2 linked regions of the Arabidopsis thaliana genome follow. The protein of the gene in region 2 interacts with the protein of the main gene of each other region in a biochemical or structural test. Each region holds a gene or a part of one and is shown on either strand. Other genes may lie near its edges.

What was found.
Region 1: the proteins of GSO1 (region 2) and AT4G22730 form a complex in vitro, tested with the Arabidopsis thaliana proteins (one large-scale study listed by BioGRID).

Annotation. Positions count from the first base shown.
Region 1 is NC_003075.7:11,937,396-11,945,418, forward strand, and holds AT4G22730 (Leucine-rich repeat protein kinase family protein), read left to right. Parts: upstream 1-3,605; 5' UTR 3,606-3,988; coding exon 3,989-4,418; intron 4,419-4,506; coding exon 4,507-4,767; exon of another isoform or gene 4,768-4,854; coding exon 4,855-5,748; coding exon of another isoform or gene 5,749-5,753; intron 5,754-5,819; coding exon 5,820-6,301; 3' UTR 6,302-6,490; downstream 6,491-8,023. Other genes in the region: AT4G22720 (Actin-like ATPase superfamily protein), read left to right, coding at 72-629, 715-870, 975-1,322; AT4G22740 (glycine-rich protein), read right to left, coding at 6,655-6,782, 6,869-6,952, 7,047-7,122, 7,207-7,287, 7,378-7,631, 7,723-8,023.
Region 2 is NC_003075.7:10,880,466-10,889,862, forward strand, and holds GSO1 (Leucine-rich repeat transmembrane protein kinase), read left to right. Parts: upstream 1-3,455; 5' UTR 3,456-3,754; coding exon 3,755-7,151; intron 7,152-7,227; coding exon 7,228-7,580; 3' UTR 7,581-7,805; downstream 7,806-9,397. Other genes in the region: PTAC14 (plastid transcriptionally active 14), read left to right, coding at 28-178, 285-394, 470-541, 635-740, 825-1,019, 1,111-1,232; AT4G20150 (excitatory amino acid transporter), read right to left, coding at 8,064-8,080, 8,687-8,824, 8,945-9,035. UniProt on the Arabidopsis thaliana protein: Together with GSO2, receptor-like serine/threonine-kinase required during the development of the epidermal surface in embryos and cotyledons. In coordination with GSO2, regulates root growth through control of cell division and cell fate specification.

The sequences.
Region 1 (8,023 bases), 1.1 Mb from region 2:
GGATTTTTACTTCACCTAGTCCTGAATTTGTTGTTCTCTGTGTAGAAAGTTTCTGTTTTTAAATCAAAGAAATGAAGAAGAAGATGATAGCCATTGGTTTCGAAGGATCAGCTAACAAGATTGGAGTTGGAATTGTGACTTTAGACGGTACTATCTTAGCAAATCCTCGGCATACGTATATAACACCACCTGGTCATGGTTTTCTTCCTAGAGAGACTGCACATCACCATCTTGACCATGTTCTTCCTTTAGTCAAATCAGCTTTAGAGACTTCTCAAGTTACTCCTGAAGAAATCGACTGTATTTGTTATACGAAAGGTCCCGGGATGGGAGCGCCGTTGCAGGTTTCAGCCATTGTTGTTAGAGTATTGTCACAGCTTTGGAAAAAGCCAATTGTTGCTGTGAATCATTGTGTGGCTCACATTGAGATGGGGAGAGTAGTTACTGGAGCTGATGATCCTGTTGTGTTGTATGTGAGTGGTGGTAACACTCAGGTGATTGCTTATAGTGAAGGTAGGTACCGGATTTTTGGTGAGACTATTGATATTGCTGTTGGTAATTGTTTGGATCGGTTTGCTAGAGTCTTGAAGCTTTCTAATGATCCAAGCCCTGGTTATAACATTGAACAGGTAGATTTCATTTGAAAGTAAAGTAAATTTGAATTCTTGAAAGATTCAAGAACAATGTTAACACGGTTTTTGGTGTTGTTACTAGCTTGCTAAGAAAGGAGAAAACTTTATTGATCTTCCGTATGCTGTTAAAGGTATGGATGTATCGTTCAGCGGAATCTTGAGTTATATCGAAACTACTGCAGAGGAGAAGCTCAAGAATAACGAGTGTACACCAGCAGACTTGTGTTATTCCCTTCAAGTAAGGCTATCACTTGGTTCTTAACTGATGAATTTTGTCACATGAATGCAAATTTTGGACTGTTTAAGAGTAATATCATGAATTCATGTTTGTTGATCTTGCAGGAGACGGTGTTTGCGATGTTGGTTGAGATCACAGAAAGAGCGATGGCGCATTGTGACAAGAAAGACGTTTTGATAGTTGGCGGTGTTGGGTGTAACGAGCGTTTGCAGGAAATGATGAGGACTATGTGCTCAGAACGTGATGGTAAGCTGTTTGCAACAGATGACCGTTACTGCATCGATAATGGAGCTATGATCGCTTACACAGGTCTACTCGCGTTTGTTAATGGTATTGAAACACCGATCGAAGACTCTACCTTTACACAACGATTTCGCACAGACGAGGTTCATGCGGTGTGGCGAGAGAAAGAAGCTGTACTACTTGGGGATAAGAAAGTTGCAGCGAATTGAGTCTGTCCCCATTTTTGTTCATTTTTCATCAAATTTGAGATTGAATCTCTCTCTACTCGATAAATTGGTTTTTGCTAAGTAGTTAAGACTTTTAAATGTGTTTTATTAGCCAAATTATATGATTGATATCTTTTGGTTTGAATGTAATAACACTTTCAAATTTCAAAGTGAGCTTTGTAAAAAGTTCAAATGTTTCTTGTGTTGCATTTCGCTATTTGTTTTATTGCTTTAATAAAAATATGATATCTCAAAGTCGACATTTCTACCGAGAATGGTGGAGAGATTAGTGCATTAGTCTTCCTTAATCATACAAAAACAACTGTGAAAATACAGCACTACTAAAAAGTAAAAAGTAAGAACTTTTTAATGTAGAACGTATGAGATGGTTCAATTAATCACAAGACACTTCTATGGCATTGCGTATTAAACGAAAAGTGAGTAAATAGAATTTATACATAATGATCTAATCTTGATCTTGCTAATAAAAATTGTAAAGGCAACAACAAGTTGTCAAAAATTTCAATTTGACGTAGAGATAAATTCTATCTAATAATTTTGTAAAAACATTCGAGATATAGTGTATCATTTTTCCATCATCTAGAACTCATTTGCGTATTTTCAAGTGTAAATCAGAACCTTGACACATAGGCTACACAAATTTTGGTCGATATTTATATTACTTTTGTAGCATAATGTGGATATCCTTCTAGAGACTAGAGTTCTAGATAAAACATTCATACATGTAACTATGTAAGTAAGCATGCATACTAAATATAAAATTTTCAAAAGTTTTAAAAGACATCATATAGATTCAAAAAGACGTGGGAAAAAGGAGAAAATGACAAAAGTTATTAGTAAAACAATCAAGTAAAAGGTCAAAGTAGTTAACGAAAAGATAAAAGTATTTCAAAAGTCTTCCTTCCATCTTGAAATGCCAAAAAATAAAAGACGAATGATTGAAGATAAATCAAAGTTGTCTGATTGCTATTGTATACATCTTTTTTTTTGTTAAAACTATTGTATACATCTAAAAAACCTTGAAGTAATCAAGATCTGAATTATAGCCGTTGATAAGGTTTTATGCTTTCACATTGAACTCGATCGTCGTCGTCAAATCTACTAGTCTCGTTTTTTAGTTTTAACGTGCTTAATTACTTCACTAATTTGTTTTTTGTTATCATTTTCACCAATTTTATTCATTGTGTGAATTAAGTTTTGTCCACATAGTAAGATTCATCAGTATAATAGGACATATGATAAAAGTTTGTATATAATCAAAGAGTATATCTAAGAATATCTAATTAAGATGAATGTTTCAGTCCACATTGGATTCTGCTTATAGTCAAACTGTCTTGTTCTTAAACCCAATTAGGTTAGAATACATGTACCAACAAATAGCATTTCTATAACTAATCTTTTATCAATTTACTTTATAGCCTACAAATAATTAGAGGAAAAGAAAAGAGAGTTAGTGGAATAATTGTCCTCTAAATCTCGATATCATCATTAACTAAATACTATATTTAGACCATATATACTATATTTTATAGTATACTATATTTTATAGTATATATAATCAACTAATCATATTAGACCACTATTAGAAATATGGATCTAAAAAAAACATTCTTTAATCAGTACTATTCTCATCCAAAGACTTGTTTTAAGAGACTAAATATGAATATGTGTATGTGTATGTGTATGCAGGAGTAGACACGTGCACGTGGCACATGCAGGGAATGGGAAGGTGGAGTGTTGACAAAGAAGAAGAGGATGATCCAAGTTTCGAAATGATTCCAAAAGTTATGAACTATAAGCCAAAGTGCTCAATCGCCAAACATGAACTTAAATAAACTTCACTCGTTAGATCGTTTTCTCACATTAAAGCCGCTCTACACTTTTACCCATTTTACCATTTATAATAACCACCACACATAGATATTAAGTTCTATGGATTTTATTCGTAAACTTAAGTTATGATCAAATAGCTAAATGATTTTGCGATTTGCCCGAGTTCTGTTTGTTTCTAAAATGGTTATCCAAAAAGCATATTTTTGTTTTATATAGAATTTGTGATATAGAAGAAATATACTAAAAATGTTTTAAAGTCTGTCTAAATCATAAACCAATGCAAAGAAAGTGAAATAAACCAAGATCTCGAGCAATAGACATAATAAATAAACAAACACCTAATAACATCACATCCCCACTAACAAATGTGAACATTAACTGTTAAAAATCACCAAAAAAGTCATCAAGATTTGGCTTTCCTTTTCAAAAGCAGTATACGTCTCTGTCTCACACAGACAGTGTATTCAATGCGTTGTGTTGTCTTCCCACTTTTCACCAGCTGAGGTTCTGCTTCTTTCTCTTCTTCTCTCCAAAACAAGAAAATTCTGCAGAATAACTTTTCATTCACGAGAGTGGAAGGTTACAGTTTTCCAAATCCGAGAAACAGACACAAAATTGGTCCCTCTCTAAAAGTTACTATCTTCGTTTAACAAAGAGATAGCTCCCAATCCAGTACAAAACAGAGTACTCTGCTCTATAAATTTCGTTCCTTTATTACTCTGCTCTATAAAACAGATTATTCTGCTCTATAAGAGAGATAGATAAATGAGCTAAAGCTCAGTAATTTCTAAACAGAGAGACAAGAAAATTCAAGAATGGTTACCTTATGTGCCACGTTACTGATCCTTCTCTCAATCTTTCTTGCAACTCCGTCGAATGTTCGAGGAAATGCAGAGCTGAAGGCTTTAATGGAGCTGAAATCGTCGCTTGACCCTGAAAACAAGCTTCTCCGTTCATGGACGTTTAACGGCGATCCATGCGACGGATCTTTCGAAGGAATTGCATGTAACCAGCATCTAAAAGTCGCAAACATATCATTACAAGGGAAACGTTTGGTCGGAAAATTGTCTCCGGCGGTTGCAGAGCTCAAATGTTTGTCAGGTCTTTACTTACATTACAATAGTCTCTCTGGAGAGATACCTCAAGAGATCACAAATCTTACTGAATTATCAGATCTTTATCTCAATGTTAATAACTTCTCTGGTGAGATTCCGGCAGATATCGGCTCCATGGCTGGCTTGCAAGGTTAGCATCTTATAATGTTTCACAGATCTTTCACTTGAATGTTTACTCGATCTTCCATTTGAATGTTTTGTGGTGTCTTTTGTTGCAGTTATGGATCTTTGTTGCAACAGTTTAACAGGGAAGATACCAAAGAACATTGGATCCTTGAAGAAACTTAATGTGTTGTCTCTGCAACACAACAAACTAACCGGAGAGGTTCCTTGGACTTTAGGAAACTTGAGTATGTTAAGCAGGCTTGATTTAAGCTTCAACAATCTGTTAGGTTTAATCCCAAAAACCCTAGCCAACATTCCTCAGTTGGACACTCTTGACTTGCGCAACAATACTCTCTCTGGCTTTGTTCCTCCTGGTGAGTTAATGATTCTTGAAACGTCTTTGTAAGAGCTTATCTCTCTGTTTCTTGACTCGGTTTTTTCTTCGTTATGTTTCTTCAAAGGTCTTAAGAAGTTGAATGGGAGCTTCCAGTTTGAGAACAACACCGGGTTATGTGGTATCGATTTTCCTTCTTTGAGAGCTTGTTCTGCTTTCGATAATGCGAATAATATCGAACAATTTAAGCAGCCTCCTGGTGAAATAGACACTGATAAATCAGCTCTTCACAACATTCCCGAGTCTGTATATCTCCAAAAGCATTGCAACCAAACACATTGCAAGAAATCCTCATCGAAACTCCCACAAGTTGCTTTGATTTCAAGCGTGATTACCGTCACTATAACATTGATTGGTGCTGGTATATTGACCTTCTTTCGCTACAGAAGAAGGAAGCAAAAGATCAGTAACACACCTGAGTTTTCCGAGGGAAGACTAAGCACAGATCAACAAAAAGAGTTCCGTGCATCGCCTTTAGTGAGTCTTGCCTACACTAAAGAATGGGATCCGCTAGGTGATAGCAGAAACGGAGCTGAGTTTTCACAAGAGCCTCATCTCTTTGTTGTAAATAGTAGCTTCAGGTTTAACTTAGAAGACATTGAATCAGCAACCCAATGCTTCTCAGAAGCTAATCTATTGAGCAGAAACAGCTTCACCTCAGTGTTCAAAGGAGTCCTCAGAGATGGTTCTCCGGTAGCTATCAGAAGCATCAACATAAGCAGTTGCAAGAACGAAGAAGTCGAATTCATGAACGGTTTAAAGCTTTTATCTTCGTTGTCACACGAAAACTTAGTGAAGCTACGTGGATTCTGCTGTTCTAGAGGCAGAGGAGAGTGTTTCCTCATCTATGATTTTGCTTCAAAAGGAAAGCTTTCAAATTTTCTTGACTTACAAGAACGCGAAACTAATCTGGTCCTTGCTTGGTCTGCAAGAATCTCCATCATCAAAGGGATTGCAAAAGGTTAAGTATTTGAAATATCACTTCTTTGAGTTCAAGGAACAAAATGTATTTAATACACAAATTTCTTGCAGGTATTGCTTACTTACATGGAAGTGATCAACAGAAGAAGCCTACAATAGTTCATCGAAACATCTCTGTCGAAAAAATCCTACTTGATGAACAATTTAACCCGTTAATCGCTGATTCGGGTCTTCACAACCTTCTAGCAGACGATATGGTCTTCTCAGCACTCAAAACAAGTGCAGCAATGGGATATTTAGCTCCGGAATACGTCACAACCGGAAAATTCACCGAGAAAACCGATATTTTCGCCTTTGGAGTCATCATTCTCCAGATACTCTCTGGTAAGCTCATGCTTACAAGTTCACTGAGAAATGCAGCTGAAAATGGAGAACATAACGGGTTCATCGATGAAGATCTTCGTGAAGAGTTTGATAAACCAGAGGCGACTGCAATGGCGAGGATTGGGATAAGCTGTACACAGGAGATACCAAACAATAGGCCTAATATAGAGACATTGCTTGAGAATATAAACTGTATGAAGAGTGAATGACTCTGCTTTTTAATTAGTATCTTTGTGCAAGTATGATTCTCCGGTTAGCTGTGTCCCACCAATTGGTTTTGTTTGTTTTAGTTCTCTCCAGTAAGAACCGGGTCCGGTTTATATTTTATTTAGATTTGTAGCTGAGAATTGAAGCTTTAATCAGTTAGCTATATGATTATAAGCAACGAAGAACTGATTAATGTAACAAAAGATACATATATAATAATCATCAAGGAGCAGTGTTTAAAACCCTCAAATCATGTCATCATACAGTTACAGTAATGATGATGCAACCTAAGTAAAGTAATTAGTCTTTGGTTACATTCACTAAAGATTTTCGAAACCATACATATAGGCGGAGATTAGTTTGTACCATGTCCTCTTACATTCATTGCAGCTTTCGGTCTTCGGGATGATTCTGCTCGTGCATGAGAAGGACTTGGATCAGTCGAGGGAAGTAACATTGGTTGCTCTCTGTTCACAAGACCACCTGCAAGAACATCAAAGAGATGATTTATCTTTGTTCACAAAGAAACGTACAACACGAAAACTTGACCGTGTAATAGGACTGCTTACTTCCAAATGAACCAGAGCGACTGGGTAACTGCATTTGCCTTCTAGCATTTCCACTCCAAGACTGTTCAAAACCAGCCAATTCATCTGCAGAATTTTGCAATTGAAAGCAAACGGTATATAAGGATATTTCATCCACAATAGAACATTTATGAAGCTTAACGAGAATTGTATTAGTTACCTTCATTCAAATTGTGCAAGGTCTGAGTTGTATCAACACGGCCATCTGAGTTAAGTTTACGCGCAACTGTGTGGCCCTGCAAGCATAAGAACATAACTTATAACTGATCCAACAACAAAAGATACAGATTTTATTATCCTCAAGGTATGTATATATGTACCTTGTTATGAAGGCCTCTTGAAATCATATGCGCTGCTTCCCGCGTTGCAGTGTTGGCTTCTCTGCTTTCTTCAAGAGTTAACTGTTTCACAGTAAGACCGGTTTTAGTAAAAAGTATCAGCTAACATTCTTACTTTCACACACACGCAATTACATTACTAATGTAACTCACCCCATCACTTCCTGTCCTTCTGGTCTTTGAGGAAGTATAGTAGTTGCCGTTCTGACCACCGTATGTAACAGTCGAGCTCTGAAAACTATAACTACCGGTTTGAGGTTGCCACTGTCCATTGTTCACCATAGCATTCACATTCATGTTCTGCATTTGTGGGTTCCTTCTCTCTGCATTCACATTCATGTTCTGCATTTCTCGGTTCCTTCTCTCTGCATTTACATTCATGCTTTGCATTTGCCGGTTTCTTCTCTCTGCAGCGAACATAAAACACAATCAGTTCCATAGAAAAGAACGATTTCATTCCACTTTAAAACCAAGGTAGAAATAGAAAAAAGGTATCACCTCGCACTCTAGCATCTTCAGTTTCAGCCTCACTGCTTGACCTGCCATGTTTCCCTAGACTTCCTTTCTTCTCTTTATCACCTTCTCCTTCTTTCTCATCATCTGAATCAATCTCTTCAATAACCGGTCCGCGTGATCTACTCGGTCCTGGAGGCTGATTATTCTCAATAAAACCCTGTGGCAGACGATGCATTTCTGCAAAAGGATTCATGCTGGGACCAAAGAAGTTGGATTGAAACATGCCACCACCAAAAGGCTGAGTGAAGAAAGGGTCGTCAAATGGATCTCTTCCTCCGAAAAA
Region 2 (9,397 bases):
TCATTGGCAAATTGTATTCCGTCTCAGCATTCAGGTGTTCCTCTCAAAATCAAAAGGCTTGCCGAGGATCCAGAAAGATTCATATGGGCGGTTAGTATGGCACAGACACGATGCATCAGTATGCAAACTAGGGTCGGTGCTTTGGTTCAGGAATTAAATATGATGATTCCTTATGCTGGTAAGGAAGAGCATGTTGTGTAGTTATTGATAAATTAAGATTTAGTATCAATGAACTTTTTGTTGAGGAACTAAATAAGAATCTCACGATTGATCATTCTCTGCAGACATGCTAAACCACTCATTTGAACCAAACTGTTTCCTACATTGGCGTCCTAAAGATCGCATGCTGGAGGTTATGTCAAATGCTGGTCAAGACATTAAGAAAGGCGAAGAGGTAAGAGACTCAAATGTTCCTAAGTGTCAGCCTCACTTCACTGCTTTATCTATCTTCTTATAATGCTTTTCACAGATGACGATTAATTACATGCCAGGCCAGAAAAACAACATGCTTATGGAAAGATACGGCTTCTCAACTCCTGTGGTAATGCTTTTTACGACAATCACATTCATCTTACACAAACTATGTTTCCTTTGCAAGTTTTCTCGTTTATTCAGTTTTTCTGGTCTGCTGCAGAATCCGTGGGATGCTATAAAGTTCTCTGGAGATTCTCGCATCCATTTAAATTCCTTTTTATCGGTCTTCAATATTTATGGTCTTCCTGAAGAATATTACCATGACAGTAAGTTCCTTTTCTTCTGTTTCCTCTCTATTCCTTGACAAAAGATGGAGAAATGAGCACCAATGTTACCTAAATCTGTGGCAGGCGAGTTATCGAGGGGCGATACTTTTGTTGATGGAGCAGTTATCGCTGCAGCAAGAACATTACCTACTTGGTCAGACATAGATCTTCCTCCAATACCGAGTGCGGAAAGAAAAGCAGTTAAAGAATTGCAAGATGAATGTCGAAAGATGCTTGCGGAATATCCCACAACAGCAGAGCAAGACCAGAAGTTGCTAGGTATTACACTAAAGATATATACACCAATGTGTTATTATCTATTATCGCTCATATACTAAAACTTAAGCTTTCCCTCTTGTTGTTGTGACAGATTCAATGTCAGAAGCAAGGACAACATTTGCAACAGCGGTTAAGTATAGAATGCACAGAAAGATGTTCATCGGAAAAATTATCAAGGCACTTGACATCTATCAAGAACGGTTACTCTATTGATTCAAGCAAAAAATAATTATGAGCTGAGTGAGATTCATACTTGGTGCTCACTCCCTTGAGCTACTTAGAAACTGCACCATGTAATTGAAAGGTTCCTGTTTTTTTTTTTGTTTAGTGTAAGGTTATGTATTTGTATGGAACAGTTAGACTAAGTGTGTTAGTTTGTTTTAATCGCAATCACAAACAAATCATAACCTCTTCTTTTCTTGGCTGCTTTAATGAGTTTGATTAGCCAACAAACGCTTTGGAATCATCTGTGTTTTTTTTTTCTCTTTTGATTAATTCATGTTCATGTTTTTAGTCCCTAAGCATGATTAGTGTCTCAAATGTTTTAGGGTAATTGTGTCTCTTACGCCGAACTATAATGTTGATTAGTCTCAATAATTGATTATTACTTATACTATTTATTAACCTTGTGGTTACACTAATCAATCAAATCATATTGCGTTTCTTCTACTCTTTGTCTAACATTACTATTTTCAAAAAAAGTTACGGTCCAAACCAAACAAACCTACTCTGAGTTATACAGAACCATAAGCAATCTATTTCTTACCTTTGGCTACTTATTTGATACTTTACATTGACTAACTTGATTCTTAATAATTATCTTCAATATGTTGAATATTTTATTTTTGAAGTAAGACCACTATGCGTTTCATAATTCTTGCCATGCATAATGAAATTATTCCTTTGAATTTAAGATTAATTAAAGTATAAATCAACCAAACAATAGACAAAAAAAAATAAAAAAAAATAAGCATCTTGATCTTTTTGGTGGATCGAAGATAATTCCTTTGTCTCATTCTTTTGGATTTAGAATCTCGTTCAGTAGAATATTAACATTTTTAATTATAGATTATCAATTATCGAACAAGTTGTTGTACGTAAACTTGATTCGATCTAGCGTTATTACAGTCAACCAAAATTTATATAATAATAACAATTTATGAAAATGACAATATTATTCGATGTATTATTCCTTTTTTCCTATAATTAGATAGGTGTGATTAAATTCAAGCTAGATTCCGAATCGACAACAACATATTATATCTATTATTAACCTCAATTTTTGAAGGCAAAAAACACACGAAATTATTCAAAACTCACGAGTTGATTCTTTACTTCGATGAACATATAAATTGGGAAAGTATCACCGAACTTATTTGGGTAATAAAGAAAAAGATGGATGAAAAAATTATGTTTGCAAATTTTAATAAGAATTATGTTTGACTTGGTAATAAAATATAGGGCATAATCATATGATGCCATGTTAATGTACGATCATACCACAACTGCTCTCCTTGTCGTGAAAAGGTTGAAGTGATGAGAAGCTAACACACTTTGTGACATAACCAAAGCCAAAAATATATACTTCAACCAAGTCATTTTCTCAACCACTCTTTTCTCCTTGTCCAAGGTCAAAGCCATGCATCACCATTTTATTTTCTATTATTCATTATTGTTACTTTTCCTTTATATAACTAATAAAAGGTCTATTACTAATAAACAACTAAACTTTTCTTTTCTTTTTGATAAAATTAAACAACTAAACTTGTCGAAAAGAAATAGGAGAACAAAGAACTCTAACTTCTCACGAAATTGATAAATCAAATGATTGCGTATCACAAAGACACTAAAAAGAAAAATTAAGGAATCGTGTAGAGTTGACACTCTATACATTCAGAGTAGTAATCATGTGTTTGATAGATAATAAATAGATAATGGAAGTATGAAATGAGAAAACTTGTTGGGATCATTTATCATTTGTGGAATCCTCTAAATCTTTTCTAACTTAACTCCAAGTCGTTAGAGTCCAAGAGATATGAATCGATCGGAACTTCAATACAGAATTTAATTAGAATATAGTGGAACAACATCCACGAATCTAAATGTCATAAGTTGTTAATTGATCAAACGAAATAGAATGTACTTATTATAAGCTTATAATTTTACAAGTTTGATGTGAATGTAAAGTGTACTACTCCACTATTTATTTATATATTCTGTGGTTTCTAAAGAAGACCAAATGTTTTTTTTTTTTTCTTTCCTAAGAAGACCAAATGTTATGTCAAAGTTTAGGCACTGTTTTAATTATATAACATGTCTCCACGGACGAATAAATGTACACACGAACATCATAGTACGACCGTTGACCTTTGCCCCTCCATTGATTGATAAAAGGCTAAAAGCCGAAACATTTTCATTCTACGAGCCTTCCCATTCCATTTCCCCACATCTCTCCTCTGACCTCTCTTTGACCCCTCTCTCCTCTCTCTCTAGATCTCTCAATAAAACAGTGAAATAGCAAAAAAGAAACACAAAAAAGAGAGAGAGAAAGAAACTTTGTTCTCTCTGCATTTACTCTTCTCCAACTCAGAGATAGAGTCCCTATGCACCGTTTCTAATGACCAATCATCTTTCTCCCTCTTCATCATTCTCTACAACAAGAATCACACAAATGCCATAAAACCTCCATTCTTCTTCCTCAGTAAACCAAACCATAAGACGACGAAGAAGAAAACATGCAACCACTAGTTCTTCTCCTCCTCTTCATCCTCTGTTTTTCCGGTTTAGGTCAACCGGGTATCATCAACAACGATCTTCAGACTCTTCTCGAGGTGAAGAAATCTTTGGTCACGAATCCACAAGAAGACGATCCTCTCCGACAATGGAACTCTGATAACATCAACTACTGTTCTTGGACCGGAGTCACATGCGACAATACCGGTTTATTTCGTGTAATTGCTCTAAACCTTACCGGTTTAGGATTAACCGGTTCAATTTCACCTTGGTTTGGCCGGTTTGACAACCTAATCCACCTTGATCTATCTTCCAACAATCTAGTTGGTCCCATCCCAACTGCTCTCTCCAACCTTACTTCCTTGGAGTCTCTGTTTCTCTTTTCTAACCAACTCACCGGCGAGATTCCGAGCCAGCTCGGCTCCCTCGTTAATATCCGGTCGCTAAGGATCGGAGACAATGAGCTTGTTGGAGATATCCCGGAGACGTTAGGGAACTTGGTGAATCTCCAGATGCTTGCTCTGGCTTCTTGTAGACTCACCGGTCCTATACCGAGTCAGCTCGGTCGTCTCGTCCGAGTTCAGTCGTTGATATTGCAAGATAACTATCTCGAAGGACCGATTCCGGCTGAGTTAGGAAACTGCTCTGATCTCACTGTGTTCACTGCGGCGGAGAACATGCTCAACGGGACGATACCGGCGGAGCTTGGACGCCTTGAAAACCTCGAAATACTCAACCTGGCGAACAACAGTCTCACCGGAGAGATACCGAGTCAATTAGGTGAAATGAGCCAACTCCAGTATCTTAGCTTGATGGCAAATCAACTTCAAGGTCTTATCCCCAAGAGTTTGGCTGATCTGGGAAATCTTCAAACTCTTGATTTATCGGCGAATAATCTTACCGGAGAGATACCTGAAGAATTCTGGAACATGAGTCAGCTTCTTGATTTGGTTCTAGCAAACAATCATCTCTCTGGTTCATTACCAAAGAGCATTTGTTCTAACAACACAAACTTGGAGCAACTGGTTTTGTCTGGAACTCAGCTTTCTGGTGAAATCCCTGTGGAATTAAGCAAATGTCAATCGCTTAAGCAGCTTGATTTGTCGAACAATTCTCTCGCTGGCTCGATCCCTGAAGCATTGTTTGAGCTAGTCGAACTCACAGATCTTTATCTCCACAATAATACCTTGGAGGGTACGTTATCTCCTTCGATATCAAACCTCACTAATCTACAGTGGCTTGTGTTGTATCACAATAACTTGGAAGGCAAGTTACCGAAGGAGATCAGCGCACTCAGAAAATTAGAGGTTCTGTTTCTGTATGAGAATCGTTTCTCAGGGGAAATCCCACAGGAGATTGGAAACTGCACAAGCTTGAAGATGATTGATATGTTCGGGAATCATTTCGAAGGAGAGATACCTCCTTCAATAGGAAGATTAAAAGAGCTTAACTTGCTTCACTTGAGACAGAACGAGCTTGTGGGTGGACTTCCCGCCAGTTTAGGTAACTGTCATCAACTGAACATCTTGGATTTGGCGGATAATCAGCTCTCGGGATCAATTCCTTCATCCTTCGGGTTCTTAAAGGGCTTGGAACAGTTGATGCTTTACAACAATTCTCTTCAAGGAAATCTTCCTGATTCACTTATCAGTCTGAGGAACCTCACCAGAATCAATCTCTCTCACAACAGGCTCAATGGTACGATTCATCCATTATGTGGTTCGAGCTCATATCTCTCATTCGATGTCACCAACAACGGGTTTGAAGATGAAATCCCCCTGGAGCTAGGAAACTCTCAAAATCTTGATCGTCTCAGGTTAGGCAAGAATCAATTGACAGGAAAAATCCCTTGGACGTTGGGGAAAATCCGCGAGCTGTCCTTGTTAGATATGTCAAGCAACGCTCTCACAGGAACCATTCCGCTACAGCTCGTCTTGTGCAAGAAACTGACACACATCGATCTCAATAACAATTTTCTATCAGGTCCTATACCTCCATGGCTTGGAAAACTTTCACAGTTAGGAGAGCTCAAGCTTTCTTCGAATCAGTTTGTTGAGTCTTTACCTACTGAACTGTTCAACTGTACAAAGCTGCTTGTGTTGTCTCTTGATGGAAATTCGCTTAATGGGTCGATTCCACAAGAGATTGGTAACTTGGGAGCTCTCAATGTCCTTAACCTTGATAAGAACCAGTTTTCAGGTTCACTTCCTCAAGCTATGGGAAAGCTCAGCAAGCTGTATGAGCTTCGGTTATCAAGAAACAGCTTAACAGGAGAAATCCCAGTTGAGATTGGACAGCTTCAGGATCTTCAAAGTGCTTTAGACCTCAGCTACAATAACTTCACTGGAGATATACCTTCGACAATTGGGACATTATCAAAGCTGGAAACACTTGATCTTTCTCACAATCAGCTTACAGGGGAAGTTCCTGGCTCGGTTGGGGATATGAAGAGTTTGGGATATCTCAATGTTTCTTTCAATAACCTCGGAGGGAAGCTCAAGAAACAGTTCTCAAGATGGCCAGCTGATTCCTTTTTAGGCAACACAGGTCTTTGTGGAAGCCCACTAAGTCGCTGCAACAGAGTTAGAAGTAATAACAAGCAACAAGGTCTTAGTGCCAGATCAGTTGTGATAATATCAGCAATCTCAGCATTGACGGCGATTGGCTTGATGATACTTGTAATCGCTCTCTTCTTCAAACAAAGGCATGATTTCTTCAAGAAAGTGGGTCATGGAAGCACTGCGTACACATCGTCAAGCTCTTCTTCACAAGCTACACACAAGCCTCTCTTTCGAAACGGAGCTTCAAAGTCCGATATCAGGTGGGAGGACATCATGGAAGCTACACATAATCTAAGCGAGGAGTTCATGATTGGATCAGGAGGCTCTGGGAAGGTTTACAAGGCGGAGCTTGAAAATGGTGAGACTGTTGCAGTGAAAAAGATTCTCTGGAAGGATGATCTCATGTCAAACAAGAGCTTCAGCAGAGAAGTTAAGACGCTTGGAAGAATCAGGCATAGGCATCTGGTTAAGCTAATGGGTTACTGCAGCAGCAAGTCAGAAGGATTGAATCTGTTGATATATGAGTACATGAAGAACGGAAGCATCTGGGATTGGCTTCATGAGGACAAACCCGTGCTCGAAAAAAAGAAGAAGCTTTTAGACTGGGAAGCAAGATTGAGAATAGCAGTAGGATTGGCTCAAGGAGTAGAGTACCTTCATCATGACTGTGTTCCTCCTATCGTTCACCGTGATATCAAATCCAGTAATGTGCTCCTCGATTCAAACATGGAAGCGCATTTAGGAGATTTCGGTCTTGCCAAGGTCTTAACTGAGAACTGTGATACCAACACAGATTCAAATACCTGGTTTGCATGCTCTTATGGCTACATTGCTCCAGGTACTCATCTTCTCTTTCTTAGCTTTCTTGCATATTCACTGTTTTAATATCTAAAGATTTGAAATTGTGTGTCTAGAGTATGCTTACTCGTTGAAGGCGACTGAGAAGAGCGACGTTTACAGTATGGGGATCGTGTTGATGGAGATTGTGACTGGGAAAATGCCAACCGACTCAGTGTTTGGTGCAGAGATGGACATGGTGAGATGGGTTGAAACACATCTTGAAGTAGCGGGTTCTGCGAGAGATAAACTCATAGATCCAAAGCTTAAGCCACTTCTGCCATTTGAGGAAGACGCAGCTTGTCAGGTGCTTGAGATTGCACTTCAGTGCACAAAAACTTCTCCCCAAGAGAGACCATCTTCTAGGCAAGCTTGTGATAGTCTTCTCCATGTCTACAACAACAGAACGGCCGGTTATAAGAAGCTGTAAAAAAACTGACACCTGCAAATGTCTTTGGAGACATGAAAACTGCCAACTTTAAATTTTTTCTTCTGAAATTCTGTTTCTGCTTTGTATAGATGACATGGTTTCTTTCAGTACAAAGATTGTTTCGAACTTGATCCATCTGCTACAAAAACACTTATTGTCTTTTGCATGTACTTGTAATACAACTTAAACCAAATTTTAAACAGAATGATTCTGATTCTGATTCTGAAACTCTATTCTCATAACAGAAGGTAGATTGCAAGGTTTATCATTTCGCCATTATTAACCAGATACAAACAGATTCAGATTGTGAAAACACAAATCTTTAGGTTCATATTCGAAAACAGTGAATGAAAAGAACTCCAGAGCTGAAGTCAAAGAGAAGGAGAAGAAACGCTTATACAGGAAAGATCAGACAAAACAAGCACTTGAGATGAGTTCAGGGGAAGATATTTCTTTTCTGAAGACTTCAAAGATCACGCAAAATTAATCCCGATCTTCATCTGCATTACAAAAACAGAAGGAAAAGTTTGAATATTCCAAGTTATTCAATCCAACAAAACAAGAAATGTAATACACCAAATTCTGCCAGTCCCTCGCAAATATGCAATAGCCAATGGTGATAAACAAACAGAGATTCTTGAACTTATCATAAGTCACAAGATTTATCAAAGAAGAGTTTGCGAAAGCTTAGCAACTTACTACCTAAAACGAGACACGTTTACATATGTGGTTCCCTTCAAATTCGCATCTAGTTTATATGTACTGGCACCTTGCAACCTATCTAACTCTAGAACCAAAGAACTAGTCGAAAGTATCTATCTTTCCAGACTCATTGAGATCATGTTCAAAGGAATAATTGTATTGCTCAAACTGTCTTAACTTTTATAAGAGTGCCTGACTAAACAGATTTGCAACAAGCTAAGCCTGCATAGAGATTCGCTCAATTGAAAAACTTCCAAATGATTAAACCTTGAGCGAAGTTTCATTGCGGAGAATTCAATTACCATTGCAACCATTTCATACACCAAAAACGTCACCAATTTTTCTAAAAAAAAGCAAAATTTGAGAAGCTGATAAACCAAAAACAAGAAGAGGATAATATATACCAAAGTAACGGCGCTCATTAGCAGCTCTAGCCTTAGCGAGCATCACATCAAGATCTTCCTTAAGCTTCACATCCCATTTCACGAGCTGGTTCGCAAACACAGCACCAAGTCCCATACCCACCACATGCTCCCACGGATCTAACATATATTAATATCCAATCAGAACACAATGAATCGGAATCGCATTTTCTCAACAATCGAAATCAGAAAACAAAAATTAGGGTTGTTGTAGCATTTTTCGATTGGTGGACGACTTACGACGCATATAAGGGAGCTTGCGGAGGGCGTTGGAGTACATCTGGGTACCGAGACCCAGCAAAGCTCCGACCATTGTCGCACTTATAGGCATCGTTTCGTCTTCGGATCTTCTGAAATTTGTTGTTGTTGCAACGATGAGTCTCCGATCTCCGGTTAAGTGACTACTCGGACTTAGCTTCACAATGTTTTCCCCACATACATTGCCATTTCAGTGTATCGCCCTCATATGGGCTTGGGCTTGGGCCTAGACCTTGGGTTACATAAATGATATGGAACGCTATCTGCTATGTTTAGTTGTTTTGGAAAATGTTAGTAAGTTTAGACAGTAAAAAAAGAAGCACTACTTTTTTTTTTTTTTTTTTAACATTAACAGAAAGTTAAAAACTACCAAATGCTAAAATTTAGGTGAATTATCTTCTATACTTAAGCAAGATACACATATCTTTTGGATAG